Sus scrofa: one gene and its partners. The protein of the gene in region 1 purifies or fractionates together with the protein of each later gene. This does not show direct contact. Links are inferred from orthologs where the notes say so. Each region holds a gene or a part of one and is shown on either strand. Other genes may lie near its edges.

Evidence for each region. Proteins that work in one complex are often made in the same cells at the same time.
Region 2: the proteins of NPM1 (region 1) and SMARCA5 purify together in Homo sapiens (co-immunoprecipitation; 3 studies listed by BioGRID and IntAct, with this or other methods). This does not show direct contact. The link is inferred for Sus scrofa from reciprocal best matches to the Homo sapiens genes NPM1 and SMARCA5.
Region 3: the proteins of NPM1 (region 1) and RPL6 purify together in Homo sapiens (affinity purification with mass spectrometry; 4 studies listed by BioGRID and IntAct, with this or other methods). This does not show direct contact. The link is inferred for Sus scrofa from reciprocal best matches to the Homo sapiens genes NPM1 and RPL6.
Region 4: the proteins of NPM1 (region 1) and ABT1 purify together in Homo sapiens (co-immunoprecipitation; 3 studies listed by BioGRID and IntAct, with this or other methods). This does not show direct contact. The link is inferred for Sus scrofa from reciprocal best matches to the Homo sapiens genes NPM1 and ABT1.

What each region holds. Positions count from the first base shown.
Region 1 is NC_010458.4:52,778,867-52,783,391, reverse strand, and holds the start of NPM1 (nucleophosmin), read left to right. Parts: upstream 1-1,529; 5' UTR 1,530-1,746; coding exon 1,747-1,804; intron 1,805-3,729; coding exon 3,730-3,809; intron 3,810-4,525. UniProt on the Homo sapiens protein: Involved in diverse cellular processes such as ribosome biogenesis, centrosome duplication, protein chaperoning, histone assembly, cell proliferation, and regulation of tumor suppressors p53/TP53 and ARF.
Region 2 is NC_010450.4:84,222,016-84,226,666, reverse strand, and holds the start of SMARCA5 (SWI/SNF-related matrix-associated actin-dependent regulator of chromatin subfamily A member 5), read left to right. Parts: upstream 1-1,723; 5' UTR 1,724-2,243; coding exon 2,244-2,420; intron 2,421-4,651. UniProt on the Homo sapiens protein: ATPase that possesses intrinsic ATP-dependent nucleosome-remodeling activity.
Region 3 is NC_010456.5:39,300,675-39,305,374, reverse strand, and holds the start of RPL6 (60S ribosomal protein L6), read right to left. Parts: upstream 2,929-4,700; 5' UTR 2,910-2,928; intron 2,013-2,909; coding exon 1,788-2,012; intron 1,708-1,787; coding exon 1,609-1,707; intron 1-1,608.
Region 4 is NC_010449.5:21,022,833-21,027,568, reverse strand, and holds the start of ABT1 (activator of basal transcription 1), read right to left. Parts: upstream 2,929-4,736; 5' UTR 2,874-2,928; coding exon 2,642-2,873; intron 1,962-2,641; coding exon 1,756-1,961; intron 1,600-1,755; coding exon 1,219-1,599; 3' UTR 1-1,218.

The DNA.
Region 1 (4,525 bases):
ACTCCCCTGTAGCTCTTTCTCTCTCTCATTCTAACACCTCTAAATCCGCCTCAGGCACAGTCCTCTCCTCCCTTTTATCAGCCTTTCTCAGTTCCTTTACGGATGTTCTCCGCTACATCTTTTCTCCCCAACAAGTGGCAATCCGTAGTAACTTTCCAAGACTCGGTTTTTTTCTCTAGTAATTGGTCACACTCTGCATTTTAAAAGATGCTAGAACCAAGCTGGTAAAGACTTTTTTCAGTTGGGAGCAGGGAAAAGCGGAGAACAGCTTAGTCCATTCACAAATAAGCATTGATTTCTCCACATTTTGAATTTTGATTCTGTTAATTATTGGTTCATGCGTATCACAGTTTATCTTCCCAAGTAGCCTATGTTTGGAGAAAAGGCGGTAGGGGATTGCTGTCACTATTTTTATTCTTTACAGTACTTTAATTTTTTAAATTTGTGTAAAAACCATAATTGTGGGGATCTTCAGCACCCCTGCCCGAGGAGCTGCGGTTGGGGGAAGGGTGGTCCTCAGTTTGACAGCGTACTTTAAGATACTCATTTCCAGGCTCGCTTCCAGAGTCTAAGTTTGTGTATTTCTTAAACGTCAAATGCCTTCTTTTCAGGCCAGAACAACCTTAGTGATGTTAAAGATTAAGAACTGCACAACCTCAGACACTGGACCCCCGTGTAATCCCCCGAGCTTTTAGACAGGTGTTAGTATTAGACTTGGAGCTAGAGAACCCTGTTTCTGTAACCACTCCGTCTGGGCACCTTACTTCCTCGTGGCGCGTCTCCCTGTCCGCAAAATGGGGATAGTCACATCTGCCTCTTACCTGTTACGTGGGGACATACGGTGGATACACAACCCTTTTAAAACTTTCTCTTTGGAGAAATCACCCAGGCTTGGTTCCTGCCCTGCTCATATGAAAGAGACCGATTTAGAACCCCCTGTTGGCCTCCCAGTGACGTAATGTCGAAGAATTTTAAATTCGGAGATGTTTCCTCAGAAAGGACAGGGGGTTAAAAACAGAACCGATTAAGTCTGGCCAGCAGCTACATCTTTTCTCCCCAACAAGTGGCAATCCGTAGTCCACTGTCTCTGGCACCTTAAGCTTTAACTTTGGGGAAACAATGAACTCTGGGCTCAGGCCTTCAGGCGAGCCAAAAAACTGGAAGTGGTTATGCCTGTTTGCAGGCCTGCGAGGCATGAGGAGATGGCGAAAGGAGAAATGAGCTGCTCTCTGGTTCACTTACAACCAGCTCGCCCTTCGTACCTAACCCAGCTAAGAGTTGCTGCCGCCATTTTGCAGGGTGGGCTGCGCAGGCTCTTGGCGCAAGGCCCGCGCTCCTGAGCGGGAGAGGACGTGGAAGGTTTGGAGGGTGGGGGAACGCGCGCTACGAGGGGGAAGTACGCGTGCGCACAGGCGGTGGCGGCGAAGTGGGTGGGACCAGGGTACGAATGCGCGTGCTCGGTGGGAGCCCGCGAAGTACCTGGAGGAGGTGGGGGGCGAGGTAGCAAGGAGTGATGTTGAAGAGCGCTTGCGCAGGAGAGAGACTGTGCGGGGAGGGGGGCTTCCGAGCACGCGCGCGGAGGCGGGACTTGAAGAGCTCTCGCGAGATCGTCAGGGTGCTATATATGTGCGCAGGGAGCCCGCGTCCTTTCCCTGGTGTGATTCCGTCCTGCGCGGCTGTTCTCCGCAACACTAGTGGATTATCTCCGTCCGCCTTCTCTCCCACCCAAGTGCGTGCCACCAACCCATGGAAGATTCGATGGATATGGACATGAGCCCCCTGAGGCCTCAGAACTATCTTTTCGGTAAGTACTGGCGTGTTGGGCCAAGGCCGAGCGCGGCCTGGTGGCTTTGGAGTGGGTGGTGGAAATCACACTGAGGCCTGGGCAGGTGGAGAAAGCTAAGCAGGCTGGAGGCCTGCGGGAGTGGGAAGCGAGCTGCTGGGGTCCTGAAGCTTAAGGATGGGGACCTGGGAGGGCGAGCCGGCACCACGGAGTGACTGGGAAGTAAGGGCGGCCTGAAGCGTGAGCGGTCCGAGGCCCAGGGCCTGAGTTAATGTGGAACCCACCGGTTTAGGGTTGGGCGTTAGCTGGGGCACGTGGTAGAGCTCCGGGCATAATTTTTTCCTGGGGTTGCGTGAGTTGGTAGGCTTCTGATTCCAGACTAGTGCCTGATGCTGGACTCCAGGTTGGTGGTGCAAGAGATTGTGGGGGATCAGGGTGTGAGACGTGGGCTTCCTATCTGGACGGAGAGGACAAATGGAGCCTGGCGTTGTCCTACAGGCCTAAAGGGTCAGGAGGTCTAGGGCCCAGACTCGGCCCGGGTTCTTCGGCCGGTTACAGGGGGATGGGAGCCGCGGCCCGGCGTGGGGAGGCCGCTACCGCTGGGAGCACGTGGTTGCCACGTGGTTGGGGGAAGGAGGGGTGTGGGCGCTACATCCGGGGTTCACTGGTGTCTTGTCACTCCGAGCCTGGGGTCCTGGGGCTTAATTGAGGATGGTGGACGGGAAATTTTAGGTGAAGTGGTTCGTAGCGCCAGTACTCTTGAGGTCTTTGTTAAGTGGTTAACATCAGTGCTGGTAGTTCTAGAGTTCTTTTTCTATCTCTCCGCGCTCTTTGCAGATGACTTACTGATACTCGGAAAACTGAAGGTTGCACTTAATAGTTCCAACCCCACAACGCTTGCTTCCAGAGCTGGTGCTTTACAAATGATTTGGGAGGTGGGCAGCAGAGGCAGCCTTCTGTTAAACTTGTAGTTCTATTACCAAGGTTTTGTTGCTCACCTCAATCACACAGTGCCATCCTAGGAGACTTGGGTTGGTTTTTCAACTTCACTAAACTTAATTGTTAAAGCCATTTTTTTTCGGTTAGGTTTTGAAGAAGTGCAAATGCCTTCAAGTTCATTTTGTTATATATCGTGCTGAGATATGTTAATTGAGCAGGAACATTTATACATCTCTTGCAGTAAATAAGTAGATGGCAATTAAATGGTATTATTTAAATTAAAATTTAGTTCTGACTATTAAAATCAGTTTGCCTATTCATGAGTGGTAATGGTAACATGCGCTATACATTAAGGGTTTTATTCTTAGCCGGTTTGAAAAGCTGGAGTTTCTGATCAGTTTATATCAAAAACGTTTGTGTTTACCCTCGGAAATATCCCTGGGATATTTCTAGTTTTGCCTTAGATATAATTTCTGAACAGAGTTTATATATATCACTTGTTAGTTCAGAGATGGATTGTGGACCCGTGTAACAACCTTTAGTTCTCCTACTTTGTAGTCTTTCTGTGTTGTAAATACAAGCTGTCGATGTATGTGTTTGTGTAACCACTGTCATTTCTAAATTGGCACTCCTCCTGGGAGTTGGGGTAGGTAATTCAACTTTTTAAAATAGTGGGGTTTTTATCAACATATGTTAGGTTTGGTTTAAGTTCCAGCTTTTACTAAATCTTTGATACTGTTTCCACCTAAGAAGAGTGTAGTTGAGCATAAAATAGTATGATGGAAAGGAGGAATTTATAAAACTATGAAAGTTATTTGCTCTATATGGATGTTATTTGATGTTTATAGACTTGTGTGTTCAAGAAGGCCTGTAAGAGGTACTTCTGCCTTGCTTTTTGGTAGCTAGAATAGAATAGTAAAATCAAGTAACTTTTGGTTACCCACAGTGACGTTTCATTCAGTGTTATTTTTCTCCTTGTTATAGTAGGGTTGTTTCCTCATTTACAGGTTGTGAACTAAAGGCCGATAAAGATTACCACTTTAAGGTGGATAATGATGAAAATGAGCACCAGTTATCTTTAAGAACGGTACGTAAAACTTTTCAAGACAAAGTACTCTCGATTTCAGACACCGCTTAATTTGTGTGGCTTAACATTAGAAAAGTATTTCTATAGTTGTTGTATATGCTTGGTTTTCCACGTGTGTTATAGAAAACCTGCCGTCTTTACCACTCATTTGATATTTTGAACAGTCCAATCACACTGTTCAGCTTTCCTTATTTTCACTGTTACTGTTTCTCTATTTGCTTTTTAGGGCCGCCCCTATGGCATATGAAAGTTCCTAGGCTAAGGGTCAAATTGGAGCTGCAGCTGCCGGCCTACACTGCAGCAACACAGGATCCGAGCTGCCTGTGCAAATCTGCACTGAAGCTCCTGGCAACATGGGGTCCTTAACCCACTAAGGGAGGCTGGGGATCAAACCCGCATCCTGATGGATACACATTGGGTTGGTAATCCAATGAGCCACAATGGGAACTCCCCAGCTTTCCTTATTGTGTCATCTACTTTTCTTGAGTTGTATTAAAAACTCTTTAGGGTAGTGACAAATATACATCTTGTTCCCCAGAGACTAGGCTATAGCCTACTACTTAAATTGTAGGTGGCCGGTAAATGTTAGGCGATTCATACTGTGAGTTAACAGTGGTGATGGCATAAGTATGTGTCATCAAATGCATTTTAGTGTATTTGTTCAAAGTTACTGAGTATGAGACTAGGGTCACATAAAACTTGAAGACAACTTTGAG
Region 2 (4,651 bases), on another chromosome or scaffold:
TATTAAATAAATATTTACTCAACTATTTATTGAGTGTCTATATGTCGGCTACCACCCTAGACACTACCTTTTTACCCTCCCATATAATCTTTTTGGTAAAATGATTTTTTAAATATTAAAAAATAAGTTTGTTCAATATATACAAACTCGGAGTTCCCGTTGCGGTGCACCAGAAATGAATCTGACTAGTAACCATGAGGCTGCGGGTTCAATATCTGGCCTTGCTCAGCAGGTTAAGGATCTGGCCTTGCTGTGAACTGTTGGGTAGGTCACAGACATGGCTCTGATTCTGCATTGCTATGGTGTAGGCTGGCAGCTGTAGCTCCAATTGGACCCCTAGCCTGGGAACTCCACATACCCAGGGTGCAGCCCTAAAAAGCAAAAAAATAAAATAAAATAAATAATAATACACAAACTCATTTTAGAAAAATAAAAAAAGAGAAACAAAAATGAATTAGGTAATATACATCAACAACAATCACTTTCAATAATTTTAGGACTATCCTTCCAAAGTTTTATCTATATTTTTGAACTGTTAAAATTTTTTAGTTACTACTATATAATAAACTTTTTTCTACAGTCTGGTTGTTACAAGTTAATAATAATTCACTTTGTGGTATACAACAGTTTTAAAATCAAACTTTCAATGTTGGACTATATTGTGCTAGCATTTCTCAAGTACATATAAAGACGATGATGATCATCATTTATATAGTTTTCTTTTTATCTATCCTTGGGGGTTCCCTAGAGTCTCAGACAGGGCATTTCTAATAGGCTGGGGAACATTCTTCCAGATCTCAAAGAATTATCATTGAATTGGTTAAAAGTTTGCAGGTTAAATATTCAAAGGAAATCCCTTCTGTTTGTAATTCAGCATAGTCAATGGTTTGGTCAAACCTTGACTCTTGACAAGTTTGTCTCCTTTATTCAATACGTACTAATAGAATATTGGATATGGGGATATAAAGATGAGTAAGAGCCTATGCAGGGCAAATAACAATTTAGTGCAGTATGCAGATTTGCTGTCAAATAGAACACCATGTGCTTAAATTCTGCAGTAGGTGGATGCAAAAGGCTGTGTTGAACATAGCGTAAAGCAATGTACAAACCAGTGATTACTTGTAACACTTTTTTAGAAGAATGTCTGTTTTTATTTAATATTTGGTGGTTGAGGAAAAGATATAACCTATTACCTCTCTTTCTTATCTGCTAATTACTCTTGTTTCTCACATGGTGGTTGGCGCAGTTTGCTTACTTTTAGCATGTAAACTTAGAGGAAATATCGTCTAACTCTACCGAAGAAGGAATTTAGAAATGATCAATCATATAGCTAACATAAGGATGACAAAACAAACAAAAATCACACTAACAGGCACTCTTCTTAGACAACAAAACAGTGAGACGTCAACTGGGAAAACCGTATCATTGTCAACTCTGTGGCGTCACGCCAATAAGCGGAGGCGGTAAAAGAGAGGCCTGCAGAAGCCTCTACGCTGCAGCAGGCGGCGCAAGACCCGGGCAATTTTTCGAGCAGCGCTGGGATTACTGCCAAGCTGGGGAAGCACAGCGACCCGGCACAGCGAGCCGTTAAGAACGACTGTAAGACTGCGGTGGCGTCACGCCCGGAAACCGACGCACAAACTTACGTCTCCGAGCCCTCCTTTGAGGCCCCGCCCACTCATCGCCCTAGAGCCCGTAGGGGCACAGGGGGCGTGGCCAAGAGCTTGGAGTAGAGAATGCGCATGCGTACTTTGAAACCCCGGTCTCTTAGCTAACTATCAATCTCGCGAGTGTTGAAAGTCGGTGGCGTAGGTAGTAGACCTGGATGCTGGCGAGATACCTGATATCTACCAGAGGAAGAAGAGGAGGCGGCTAGGCTAGTTCCTGGTCTTGGTCCTTCTTGCTTTCCTTTCTTTTTCCCCCAACTCTCCGCCCTCCTGTAAATCGGCCTGCCTTCTCTGACCTCAGTGACCCGGGTGGCCCCGCCCACCCTCGTCGACGTGATTCCCGCCGTGAGGTAAAGCGCCGGTCGAACCCAGAGCCGGGAGGAAGAGGAGGACAGCTAGAGGGGGAGGCTCCTGGGCCTGGCTTGGGCTCGTCGCCGAGCTGCGGAGAGGAAGCATTCGGGTGGTCCTTCCGCTCCTCCATCGGCTCACTGCGACGTAGCCACCCAGGCCTAGGCCTCCTCCTCATCCCTGCTGGGCCGGGCCTCTGGCAGCAGCGGGTGACGCAGACGGAACATCATGTCGTCCGCGGCCGACCCTCCGCCACCCCCGCCTCCCGAGAGCGCGCCTTCCAAGCCCGCATCCTCCGCCGCCTGTAGCGGGAGCAACAACAGCAACAAAGGCGGCCCCGAGGGCTTCGGCGTCCCGGCGGCTCCCTCCGCGGCCGGCGCCGGCCCCACGGACTCCGAGATGGAGGTAAGGACGGCCTGTGGCATGGGGAGAGGGCGGGATAGGGAGGAGGAACTGGTTCCCTCTGCTGTGTATTGGTGATAAAACGCGAAGCCGAACTTCACTCCTCTGCACCCAAACTCGGCCTCAGACCCTTGGATGATCCGAAATGATGCTCTCCCTTGCGCCCTTCTGCTTACCTATGCAAGTAGACTCAGCTGGGTCTCTGGCACCTCATATTTGCGTTATTTGTCTCTTTCGCGAACCTTGCCAAATCCTCAAACGCTCTTATTAGACACATGTTCTTGATTACTGAGGCCGAGACGGATCTGCCGACTTTTTTTTTTAAGTGAGGCTCCCATAATTCCCTCGCCCATCTCTGAATCTCGATTTTAGTTTCCACTAAACCTGGGGGGAGGGGGAGGGAGATTTCCCTTTAGGAACGAGGGTAGACGGACGGGGTGGGGAAGGCATTTAAAAGCAGCGCATCCGAGGATTTGGGCCTCCTTTTCTTCATCCCGGTCCTTGCGGGGGCGGTATCTGTTCTGGGCAGAAACAATGGCGAGAGCTGGATGGCTGAGGGCGCAGTGGGGATAAGCGGGGCGCAGCTGCTCCTGTGAAGGGAGAGGAGGCTCCTCCCAGGCGCTGTTCCATTGGGAGGGAAGCGACCAAGGCAGCGGCAGCTGTCTGGAACCCCCATCTAATTTGGGGGTGGGGTGATGGATGGAAGGATGAATGATTTAGTGAGTCAGGGGTTGGGGGGGGGTTGGGGGTTTTCAGACCAGCACTCCTGTAGGGCATTGGCCTGTATTTGAGAATTGGTACCCCTCCCTGCCGCGGAGCCTGCCTTCTGGGCTGGGGTTGGCCGGCCAGGGGATGGTGACAATACTGCGGGGGTGGAAAGATTGGGGAACAGCCAGGCGGGTCTCTTGGGTGTGCTCCAAGGCTTTGCGATGTCTGGGAACAAAGTGATTGCTTGCTCCTTCCAAATTTTATTCTTGGCTTTCGATCTGTTTTGATATATGTTATAGTCGCAGGCCAGAGATTTCTGGGACTTTTCCATCCTTAGATAGATTGAGCTAAGGTAATACTGCTTTAAAAATGAACATTGCTGCAGAATTAACGCAATAAGGAAATGGTAGCGCGGTTTACCATTGAAGCATTTGGCGCAGTAGTTTTATTTGGGCCCCAGCGGTCTAGTCTAGGATGAAGTAACACGTTAGTTTTTGGAAGAACTTTTAGGTGAAGGTGGACCTCGATAGAATAGGACTTCTGGTATTCTGTAGTTTTCGGTGTCTTGAGATTTGTTTCAAATTCCTGTCTGGTGTTGCCTATTTTTCTCTTTAGGTTTTAAATCGTTTTTTGAATTATCAGGGTTAACGTGGATTCCTGCTTCCTGGCCTAAGGGGGTTTGAAAGTCTGACATTGAAAGCAATTGTATGTAAATATACCGTTCTGAACAAATTGATGTTTTGCTGTTCTCAGCTTCTCAAAGGGGGCTGTCATTCAAATTTTGGAATAACAAGCACAGTCTCACTAGGGGTGTTACAGAATCAGAAAGCAGAATAATTTAAAGCCTAAACTGAATATTTTGGCTTCAGTTGCTATTTTTAAAGTTAAAGTGGAATAAAAGTTTAACTATGATTATTAAGGATATAACAAGGACCATATGAAGTCAGTGGTATTTTTATTTGCCAAATGAGAAAATTGAGTCTTCTGGTAAGTAGAACCTGTGATAGAACCCAGGTCTGGCTCTGAAGCTGACCATTTCCCCACGTATCTTGCCCTGTCATAGTCTTAAAAAAAGATGTTTGACAATTTTTATTTATTAAAGAATGATTTAGTTATCTTTTACCTTCTCAGTATAGGAATATCAGTAGTTTTATCCACCTTTTCACTGAATAGTTTTAGTTTTTGTTTTTTCCCTTACATTATAGGGTGGTTTTTCTTTTTTTCATTTTGGGGGGGGGGTCTTAAAAAAAAAAATACCTTCAGTCTCTTCTTTTTCCTTAACTGAATTTAGAAATCATTGAAGTTCACTGGTTAAAAACTAGATTTCTGCATACATGTGTAACGTATCTGACAATCTGTTTCACAACTTAAAAAAATATTTTAGGAGTTCCCGTCATTGCGTAGTGGAAACGAATCTGACTAGGAATCATGAGGTTGCAGGTTCGATCCCCCTGGCCTTGCTCAGTGGGTTAAGGATCCGGCAATGCCAGGAGTTGTTGTGTAGGTTGCAGACACGTCTCAGATCT
Region 3 (4,700 bases), on another chromosome or scaffold:
CTACATCTCTGATTCGACCCTGAGCCTGGGAGCCTCCATATGCTTCAGGAGCGGCCCTAGAAAAGGCAAAAAGACCAAAAACAAACAAAAAAAACCCCCAAAACAAAAAAACAAACCCCCAAAAAACCACTGCATTCTCACTTCCATAATTTTAAAGATGAAAAAGGTTATTTCTGCTTCTATAGCTTTATTTTATTTTTTGCTTTTTAGGGTTGCACCATGGCATGTCGAAGTTCCCAAGCTAGGGGCTGAATCTGAGCTGGAGCTTCCAGCCTACGCCACAGATCACAGAAACACCGGATCCTTAACCCACTGAGCAAAGCCAGGGAATGAATTCATGTCCTCATGGATCCCAGTATGGTTTGTCACCCCTGAGCCACAATGGGACCTCCCTGCTTCTACAACTTTAAAGGCAAAACATAGGGTTGAATTCACTTAATTGAAGGATTAAATGTTCAAGCAAGTTACCTTTGTAAATTCGGGATTAAATAAAATTTTAGTGATTACATGACAAGCTATTCATTATACATTGTCCGTGTAGCACTGACTCTCAAGCTTTTCTGGGGTTCCCAACCTCTAATGTAAACTACACTTCTTCAGAAACACATGCCCGACACATTCTGCATGTTATGAAAAGGACATGATTTATTTTCCAATTCAAAGTGTGTTCAGGAGTTCCTGTTGTGGCTCAGTGGTTAACAAATCTGACTAGCAACCATGAGGCTGCAAGTTCTATCCCTGGCCTCGCTCAGTGGGTTAAGGATCCAGCATTGCCATGAACTGCGGTGTAGGTTGCAGACTCTGCTCGGCTCTGGCGTTGATGTGGCCGTGGTGTAGGCCACAGCTACAGCTCCAATTAGACCCCTAGCCTGGGAACCTCCACATGTCGTGGGAGCAGCCCTGGAAAAGGCAAAAAAGACCAAAAAAAAAAAAAAAAGGTCCAGATGCTTCACGTTATCATGCATTATTCCCATCTTGTCCAGAAAGAAAAACAAAGACATTAGTTTAGATCAGGACTGTCAGTTCATTTATTGTAATAAGACTGCCCCCATAAAACCTATTTTGCTAACCTCACGATAACACCTGTTTCTAACTCTTATTATTTTAGTGGACAGTCCTGCTTTTACCACAAGCATTTAATACCTAATTTAAAAACAGCTCACAAAAACCTGTGACAAGATGAGACCAAAGTGCCATTTTCATTCTGGTGCAGTTATCATTCAACTGGGAAGTGTACTATATCTGGGAATATTCCCATAATAGAAATCACAGAGCGAACCTTTCTTCCTCACAGAGAAAATGTTGGGTCTTGTGCACAGTAAAGAGGGGCCAAGACACACTGCTCTAGGGGATACACGTTCTACAGGCCTGGCCGCTTCCTAGGCTCTCATTTTAAAGTCTCACAGCAACCCTGTGAGGCAAACCTTTATTCCTGTTTTACAAGAACCAAAGCACGGAAACTTAACTCTGAATAATGTCAAGTTGCACAAACTCAGAACTCACACTATTCTCCATTAGTAAATCTCTGGTAAACAAAAACTTCTAAAACCCCACACAAGTTTCAAACTTTGGCGGAACAGTCAACTTACAATATTCCAGAAATCTTACCATTTTTCGAAGTTTAACAACTCGGGTACCACCATTCTTGTCACCACCAACGGGTTTTGTGACAGTAGCAAGAACTCTCACCTTCTTTTTCTTTTCAACCTATCAGGGCACAAATGCATCAAAAAGTCAGAGTCGCACACTTCAAGACCAAATGGTCAGTGGTTCCCCTCATCCCTTACCTTGGATTTAGCTGCTGAATACTTCCTCTTGTACAAAGCCTTTCTGGAATACATAGCCGATCGGGAATATCTGCCAATTCCTCTGACCAGGACAGGGTTTCGGCTGCAGTGGGGCTTCCCCTTCTTAACCTTCTTAGCCTTTTTAACTTTACCACCAGCATCAGCCTTCTTGGCTTCAGGCTTTTTCTCCTTAGTTCCTGGCTTCTCAGCTTTTTCACCCGCCATCTACCAGTGGGTACATTTTAAAGAAGGTATTTCACCATTTATCTCAGAGCTGTACATGAACAGACTTCCTAGGGGACAAGTCCTCATCCTCCCTCTTCAACTAGCTGTTAACATCCTTTACATCCCTCCCACTACAAGACCATAGGCCTTCCTCCAAATTCCCACGTCTGCAACATCCATCACGGTTGTCTCCCCAATACACTGTAACTTTTTGGACGATCTGAAGACTGAAGACTATCCCACACCTGTTAGGTGCTTGCTGCATATTTAGCAGTCACAAGTCCCTATTCCATTCCTCTTTTGCGAACTAGAAGTCCAGAAACAGAGCTTTACCAATCTCCAGTTAGGATGCCGAAGATAGAACTTGAAATCATTTGCTTTCAGGGCTTTTGCTTTTATCAAACTGTCTCACTCAAGAAATTCTGTTTAGAAGGCGAAGACACACACGATTTGCCCAAACTGAAAAAAGCGCAAAGCGCAAGGAGCGACTTCCGGTCACAGACGTGGAGACGGGAAAATCAGCATTGGCCACAGACTCAAATACACAACGTGGCTGGGACAAGCTCGGCGGCGTCTTCTGGAACCCAAACTCGAGATTCCGGAACGCGCGCTGTCGCCCTGGCCCCTGAAGCCCACTAGCCCGCTACGGATCCCTGGAGGGACCTATTCCTTCAGTCCGGGAGGGTGCCGGGCTGCCAGAGCCTATTCGGCATTCCGCTTCACCCTCTACGTGCCCCATTGTAAACCCAAGCGAGATAAATAAGCGTCTAGGAGGTCTCCCAGTTGGCCCTGACGCGTCCGACACCCCGCAGATGTCGACTTGATACCCTCCGAGTTAGGATGGCGAAGGATAGGGGTCCTGAAATCGAGTCTTGCAGAGAACCCCGCCATTCTTACCTTGCAAGATGGGAAAGAGAACTAAGGCCTCAGCTTCCGGTCTATAAGCGATCACGGGAGGTGTGGAGTCTCATTTCCTTCCGGATCTGAGGCATGATGGGAAGTGTAGTTTCCCACCTTTGTCCTGTATACGGAGCTGTTTTTCTTAATAGGAGGCGAAAGCGGAGAACGTTTTGTCTGAAAAAGCCTCATTTAATAGCCCAATAAAATTCTCAGAGTAATTTTGGGAACCTGCATAAAGTTGCAACTTTTTATATTTTGCTTACCAAATATATTAGAAAACACTACCAACGAGTTCCCGCTGGCGTTGTCTCTGCAGCAGCTAGGATTTTATTCCCAGCCCGGTCGCAGTGGGTCCCGAGTAGCCACAGCTGTGGAGTAGGTAGCAGCTGTGTCTTGGATTCGATTCGAGAAACTTCTATATGCAGATCCTAGGAAGCTTCCATGGGCGGAAAAGTGGAGGGGAAGCACTACCATTTTCAATATAAGAAGGTATAGATGGTTGAAGGACCTAATCCTCAATTTAAACGAAATCCCTCCGATGAAAGGGACCTTCCACAGACATTTTCTCCACAGTTGCCTACTGCCTACACCCCCTAAAGCTTAAAAGTAGAGGGTCAAAACTAAAATTTAAAGTAAGTGAAATAGGAGTTCCTGTAGTGGCTCAGTGGTTAACGAATCCGACTAGGAACCAGGAGGTTGCGGGTTTGGTCCTGGCCTTACTCAGCGGGTTAAGGATCCGGCGTTGCCGTGAGCTGTGGTGTAAACCGAAGATGCGGCTGGGATCCCGCATTGCTGTGGCTCTGGGGTAAGCCGGTGGCTACAACTCTGATTAGACCCCCAGCTTGGGAACCTCCACATGCCGTGGGGAGTGGCCGTAGAAAAGGCAAAAAAGACCAAAAAAAAAATAGAAAAATTAATAAATCACTTCTTCTGGGAGGATTTGGAAAGTTTTGCGGGAGATGTTTTTGTGTTGGATTTGGAAAAAATAAGCACAAATCTGGCAGATGAAAGTGGCAACTGGAAGAATAAATGCAAGAGGTATGGAGACATCAAAGAGCATAGTTGTTCTGGGAGTTCCCTGTTGTGGCACAGGGAAATGAATCGATAGTTCCACGCTCAGTGGGTGGGGGATCTGGCCTTGCCCTGAGCTGTGGTGTAGGTGGCAGGCCTGCTCAGATCTTGCGTTGCTGTGGCTGTGCTTTTTTTTTTCTTCTCTTTTCAGGGCCGCATTCTCTGGCATATGGAAGTTCCCAGGCTAGGGGTCCAATCGGAGCTAAGGCTACCCCCTCTACGCCACAGCAACACTGGATCCCAGAAATGTCTGCGATCTACATCACAGCTCATCGCAACTGCCACAGATCTGACAACGCTGGATCTGGGAAGGACTGAGTGAGGCCAGCAATAGAATCCACATCCTCATGTATACTAGTTGGTTCATTTGTGCTGACCCACAACCGGGAACTCCCTTCGGCAAGGATTTCTGGTCACTTTGTACTCTATTCCTTCGTTTCTGAAATGGAGATAATAATATCTAATCTCACCATGCCCAGGGGCACGTGAAATTCCTCTAGCTAGGGTTAAATCCTGTGCCACTGTACCAAGGAGAGTTGCTACAGTGACAGCGCCAGATCCTTAATCTGCTGTACCATGAGGGAACTCCCCAAAGAGTGCATTCTTAACCATTAGTCTGTAAAGATTAAATAGATGTCTAATGAAGATGATTAGAGAGTTCTTTGCTCATAGTAGAAGTAAAAACAGGGAGTTCCCCCTGTGGTGCAGTGGGTAAAG
Region 4 (4,736 bases), on another chromosome or scaffold:
CTATTATGAGGCTGTTTGCAGACTTTTCTTAGTTGGTCATGACACCTCAGTTTTCAGTTCCTCTTAGTGGCTTACAGGGATTCTTTGTCACCTCCAGAGCTGCTCTGCATGATTGTCACCCCTCTCTTGCCTAAGCAGAGGCACCATGTACAAGCGCAACAGATGGGCATCATTTGTGCACAACTACCTCTTAGGCATTCCCTGTCTTTACAATGGTTTGAACCCAACACTCCATCTAGAGTTTTGTTTATAATGTTAAGAGTTCACTAGGCCCTTACAGACTTCTGTTCACCTTTCAGGAATGATCTGAAAAACATGGTGAAAACTGACCTATCTCAGAAGAATGATCAGAAATCAACAACACATTGAGAGCACTGTCTAACTTCCCAGAAAAAGCCAACCATTCCCTCCCATGGCCCCACTCTACCCCTTATGCACATCTACCATGGTATCTGTAGTACTTCTGTATACTTATTTCTTAAACACCTGTCTTTTTTTAGTAGAAGGGCCATGTGTTATTACCCACTGTCACTCTATATCCTCACACAGTGATTTAGTAAATGCTGAAATCAATAAGGATTAACAACATGGCCTACGAAAGTGATTATATAGAAAAGGTTGGGGAGCAGGGGAGACTCTTAGACCAGGACATGGCGTGAAGGTGAGTGACCAGTACACAGAAAGAAGGTGGAACTTATCCAATGACCATCCCCACCCCCTATAAACTACAAAGGCATATCAAATATATACTTTTTTCTTTTCTATAAATACATTTGGAAGGGGTCACCCACGCCACTCCTACCTCATTAGTCCCTGTCCCTATTAGTCTTTTCTAAATAAAAAGGATATCATTGCTACCCAGTACCTGTGGCTGGTAAACAGCTGTCTAGACCAGCCATTATCACTCTAGCTCAAAGCAAGAGCTCTTTCTGGAGCCAGAAAGTAGGATTTTTAGAGGGCTTCGATGGGCAGGAGGCAGGCAGCTAAGAATCAAACAAGACAAAACAGGCGTCTACAGTAGTTATAATCATGCTAGTAGGAACTAAGTGCCCCAGCCAGGCATGTACAGGAGTTTGGGGAGGCTGACAACACTCCTATGCCTGAGCACGCATCAGAGACTCCTGCTGAGAAACACAATAAAATGTCCACCTGGGTAGTAAATATCATGTAGACAGGATGCAGGGCTGGGCTAAGAGGTGGAAGAAGCCTCTCTGCCCCTCAAGAGTTCCTGACCAGAGAGGAGTCCTCCAAGCTCTCTGAGGGTGCAGGGGCTCCAAAGATCCTGGCAAGAAGCCCTCGATTGGAGCGGGCCTGTTCCTCAGCATTAGCCAGGCGAGCCCGTTCACGTCCTCCTGGCCGAGCTGCTTTCCGGGCTCTCAACTCCTGCTCAGTAGGACGCTGGGCGAAGGCCCAGGAGCCATTCGGGCGGGTAGAGTCCCCATCAGCAGCAAGGAAACGCTGTCCACGCTCCACACTTCGAAGATAGAAGTCAGTCTCACGTTTGGCCTGGGCAACCTCCGCCCTCAGGCGCTGCCTGCGCACCTGGCGCTCAAAGGCAAGATGCTCGCTGAGGTGGGACCAAGTAAAACGGTGCAGGTACTGTGGACAGGAAAACAAGAGAAGATCTGGGTAGGGCAGGTCAGAGATGGAGAAGAGATGGGAGGAACAGGGCCACCGAGAGGTTATAGAGGTCCAAGGGCTGGGGCTGGGAAGGCAGGAGTATGAGCTGTGGGGTAGACAAGCCAATGCCCTCACCTTGAGGTTCCACAGGTCATAACGGAAGGGACTGCGCCTGCGGGAGCCCATGGGCGTGTTGTGCAGACTGGCCGCCACACGCTTGGCTACTCGCTTGTCTCGGAACTCCACCCAGCCCTCGGTGTAGTCCTTGCTGTACTTGGAACGCTTTTTCCCTCCTGTGGTGGAGGCTGCTGCTGCCTTCTTTTTGCGCCTCACGAAGCCGTCTGCGAGCCAAAGGGAGAGCAGTGGTCAAGCAAGCCGACGCAGCACCCACTCAATTGTACCTTCCACTTGCCGAAGTCTCCAAATCTGCCCAAGGGCCAGGATCCCACCCCAAGATCTTTGCTCAGAAAAGGAGAACTGAAAGGTCCACCCTTTCTCCCTTGTCTAATTCAATCCTTTGCTCAGATGTCAACTCCTTAATCAGATCTGCCCTGAACATTCTATATAAAACCAGCATGGCCCTCTAACCCTAATTCCAATTTAGGGTTATAAGAAGTTGCAGACGGCTGACCGTACGTATACCGTCTTTTGACCTGGACCGCGATGGCAAAGGGTTATGTTCAGTTTTGTGGAAAAGCCACTGGGATTTTACTGCAGGCTATACCCATTTAACAAACTGGTAAATTCGTCTCGGGAAAGAGGGATTGGGGAAGCCGAAATTAAAATCTAAAAGTTAGCTATTCGAAAACTAAGGCTCAACTAGTCATACTGCGCTAACCACACCTCAGGCCCACCTCCTAAGGAAAGTGTGGACTACCTATTTACTAAAAAAGCCACACGCGGGGCCCCGGCTCGGTTCGTGCCTGGGATCCGCGCAGCCGAGGCAACAGGACACGCACTGTGTGCTCACCATCTGCAAGCATCACCCTCCACCCCTCATCACCACTGCCTCAGCACTTACCTTCCGGCTGGAAAAACACACGCCCGACCTCGCCGTAGGCGCTAAGAAGGTTCCGTACGTGCAAAGGCCTAAACCGGGGTGGGATGTGGCCCAGGTACACAATACCCGGCACTACCCGTTTCTTGCTGCCGCCAGCCGTTTCTTCAGATTCCTCCTCTGCTTCTGGTTTCTGGTCGTTCCCTTCCACAGGCTCCAACACAGCGGCTTCCTTATTCGACTCCTCTGCCTCCATGCTTGCCGGTAAGTAAAGCAAGACAGCCGTAAGGCGCCGCGCCTCTGACGCGCACCGTTTACGACTTCCTGCGTCGAGGGGGCGGGGTTTGTCCAGGGGTTGACAAATGAAAGAACAGGATTGTTCGGAACGGGCGGTTCCAGGCCTAACGGCGACGGCGGAAGTGGGCCCCGGGTCAGCCGGGAGATTCGAAGCAAGGGAGCAGCATCAGAGGATTAGGAGAGGCGAAATGACTTGACTCCTGAGCTGAAGAGGCAGAACTGGAGAGGTAGACCACCAAGTACAACTTACAGTACAGAACTCCTTGGTGAAATGTAAAAAGATGGGATGAGGAGGGCTCTTCCGGAAATTTTGGAGGACTCTGTGTTCTAGCAAGAACACAACATAGTATTTTACCCAAGGGGCTCAGGTGCGACTCAGGTTGGGGGATGACGCAATTTGTAAAGTTTACTTAAATTTCAGTTTTTTTAATTAATTAATTGAGTTTTGAAATTTTAATTATTTTTCAAAATTTAACTTAGGGATTTGAAGATTTCAAATTGAAGTTTGGAAATGTAACCTAACTTTGGAAATATAAGTTTTGGAAATCTGGCTACATTTTTGAAAATTTCATTTGTGAGCTATTAGTTTAAAAAAATTTATTTTAAAATATTTTTAAATTTGATTTTGTGAAGTTCCCATCGTGGCGCAGTGGTTAACGAAGCCAACTAGGAACCATGAGGTTGCGGGTTTGATCCCTTGCCTTGCTCAGTAGGTTCAGGATCCGGCGTTGTCTTGAGCTGTGGTGTAGGTTGCAGACGCGGCTCGGAGCCCGCGTTGCTGTGGCCCTGGAGTAGGCTGGCGGCGACAGCTCCGATTAGACCCCTAGCCTGGGAACCTCCACATGCCGCGGGTGCGGCCCTAGAAAAGGCAAAAAGACAAAAATAAAATTTGATTTTGTAAGATGTCTAAAAATTTTGAATGCATGACGATTATTTCTTTTAAAAAAAACTTATTTGGTGCCTGTTTTACGTTTGTATTGATACATGATTCATATTTATACTTACGTTACAAATACCTGTCGTCAAATGTGTACATGGTCCTGATTTAGGCCCCCTCCTGGATCACCGAGCTTTATTCTCTCTGGGACTTATTTTCACGGTTTGAGGGCCCAGGGTGGGCCACCCCAAAATGTGCCTGAATGGCATATTGGTTATTTTGAATTAATGTTTACTGAAGACATGGTCAATACAAGGGGAACTCTCTAACACTTCTTTCTGTTTCCCTGAAAGCAGGAAATAAATCTCTCATGTGAAATGTGCACTCCCTGCATTTGGGGGTAGAAGGACACCATTATCACCAAAGAGAGAGAATTCTTGGCTAAGGATGCATAAACCGTACTTTAATTTAGTACCCCAAGTCCAAATTCTACTTGAGCCTTCACTAATTGGGAACCAGCGTTTCTCTATCCTGTCAGTTCCTCATAAATTTATTGTTTCTTTGTCTAAAAAGTGTAAAAGCTGTCTGCTTTGGCCACTTCTTAGGTGCCGTTTCTATGAGACCTCCAGGCTCATGAATTAAAATTGTTTCTTTCTCTCCTGTTAATATCTAGTATCAATTTTATTGCGGCGTGTCCAACCACAAGATCTCGAGGAGTAGAGGGGGACATTTCCCCTCCCTGACAAAAGATTTGCCCTTAGATCACAGACTGATTTTCACTGTGCGTTGAAGCCATTCATCACAAGAACTGCCACAGCCCACGCTGTACCCAGCTGATGGCTGGGCCCTGAGAGCTGTGCCTTCACCAAACCCGAGGCCGCTTTTTACCCCCGTGACGCGCCCACTAGGGGGCGCAATCCTCATCCTTAAGGTGCGGCGGGTCCT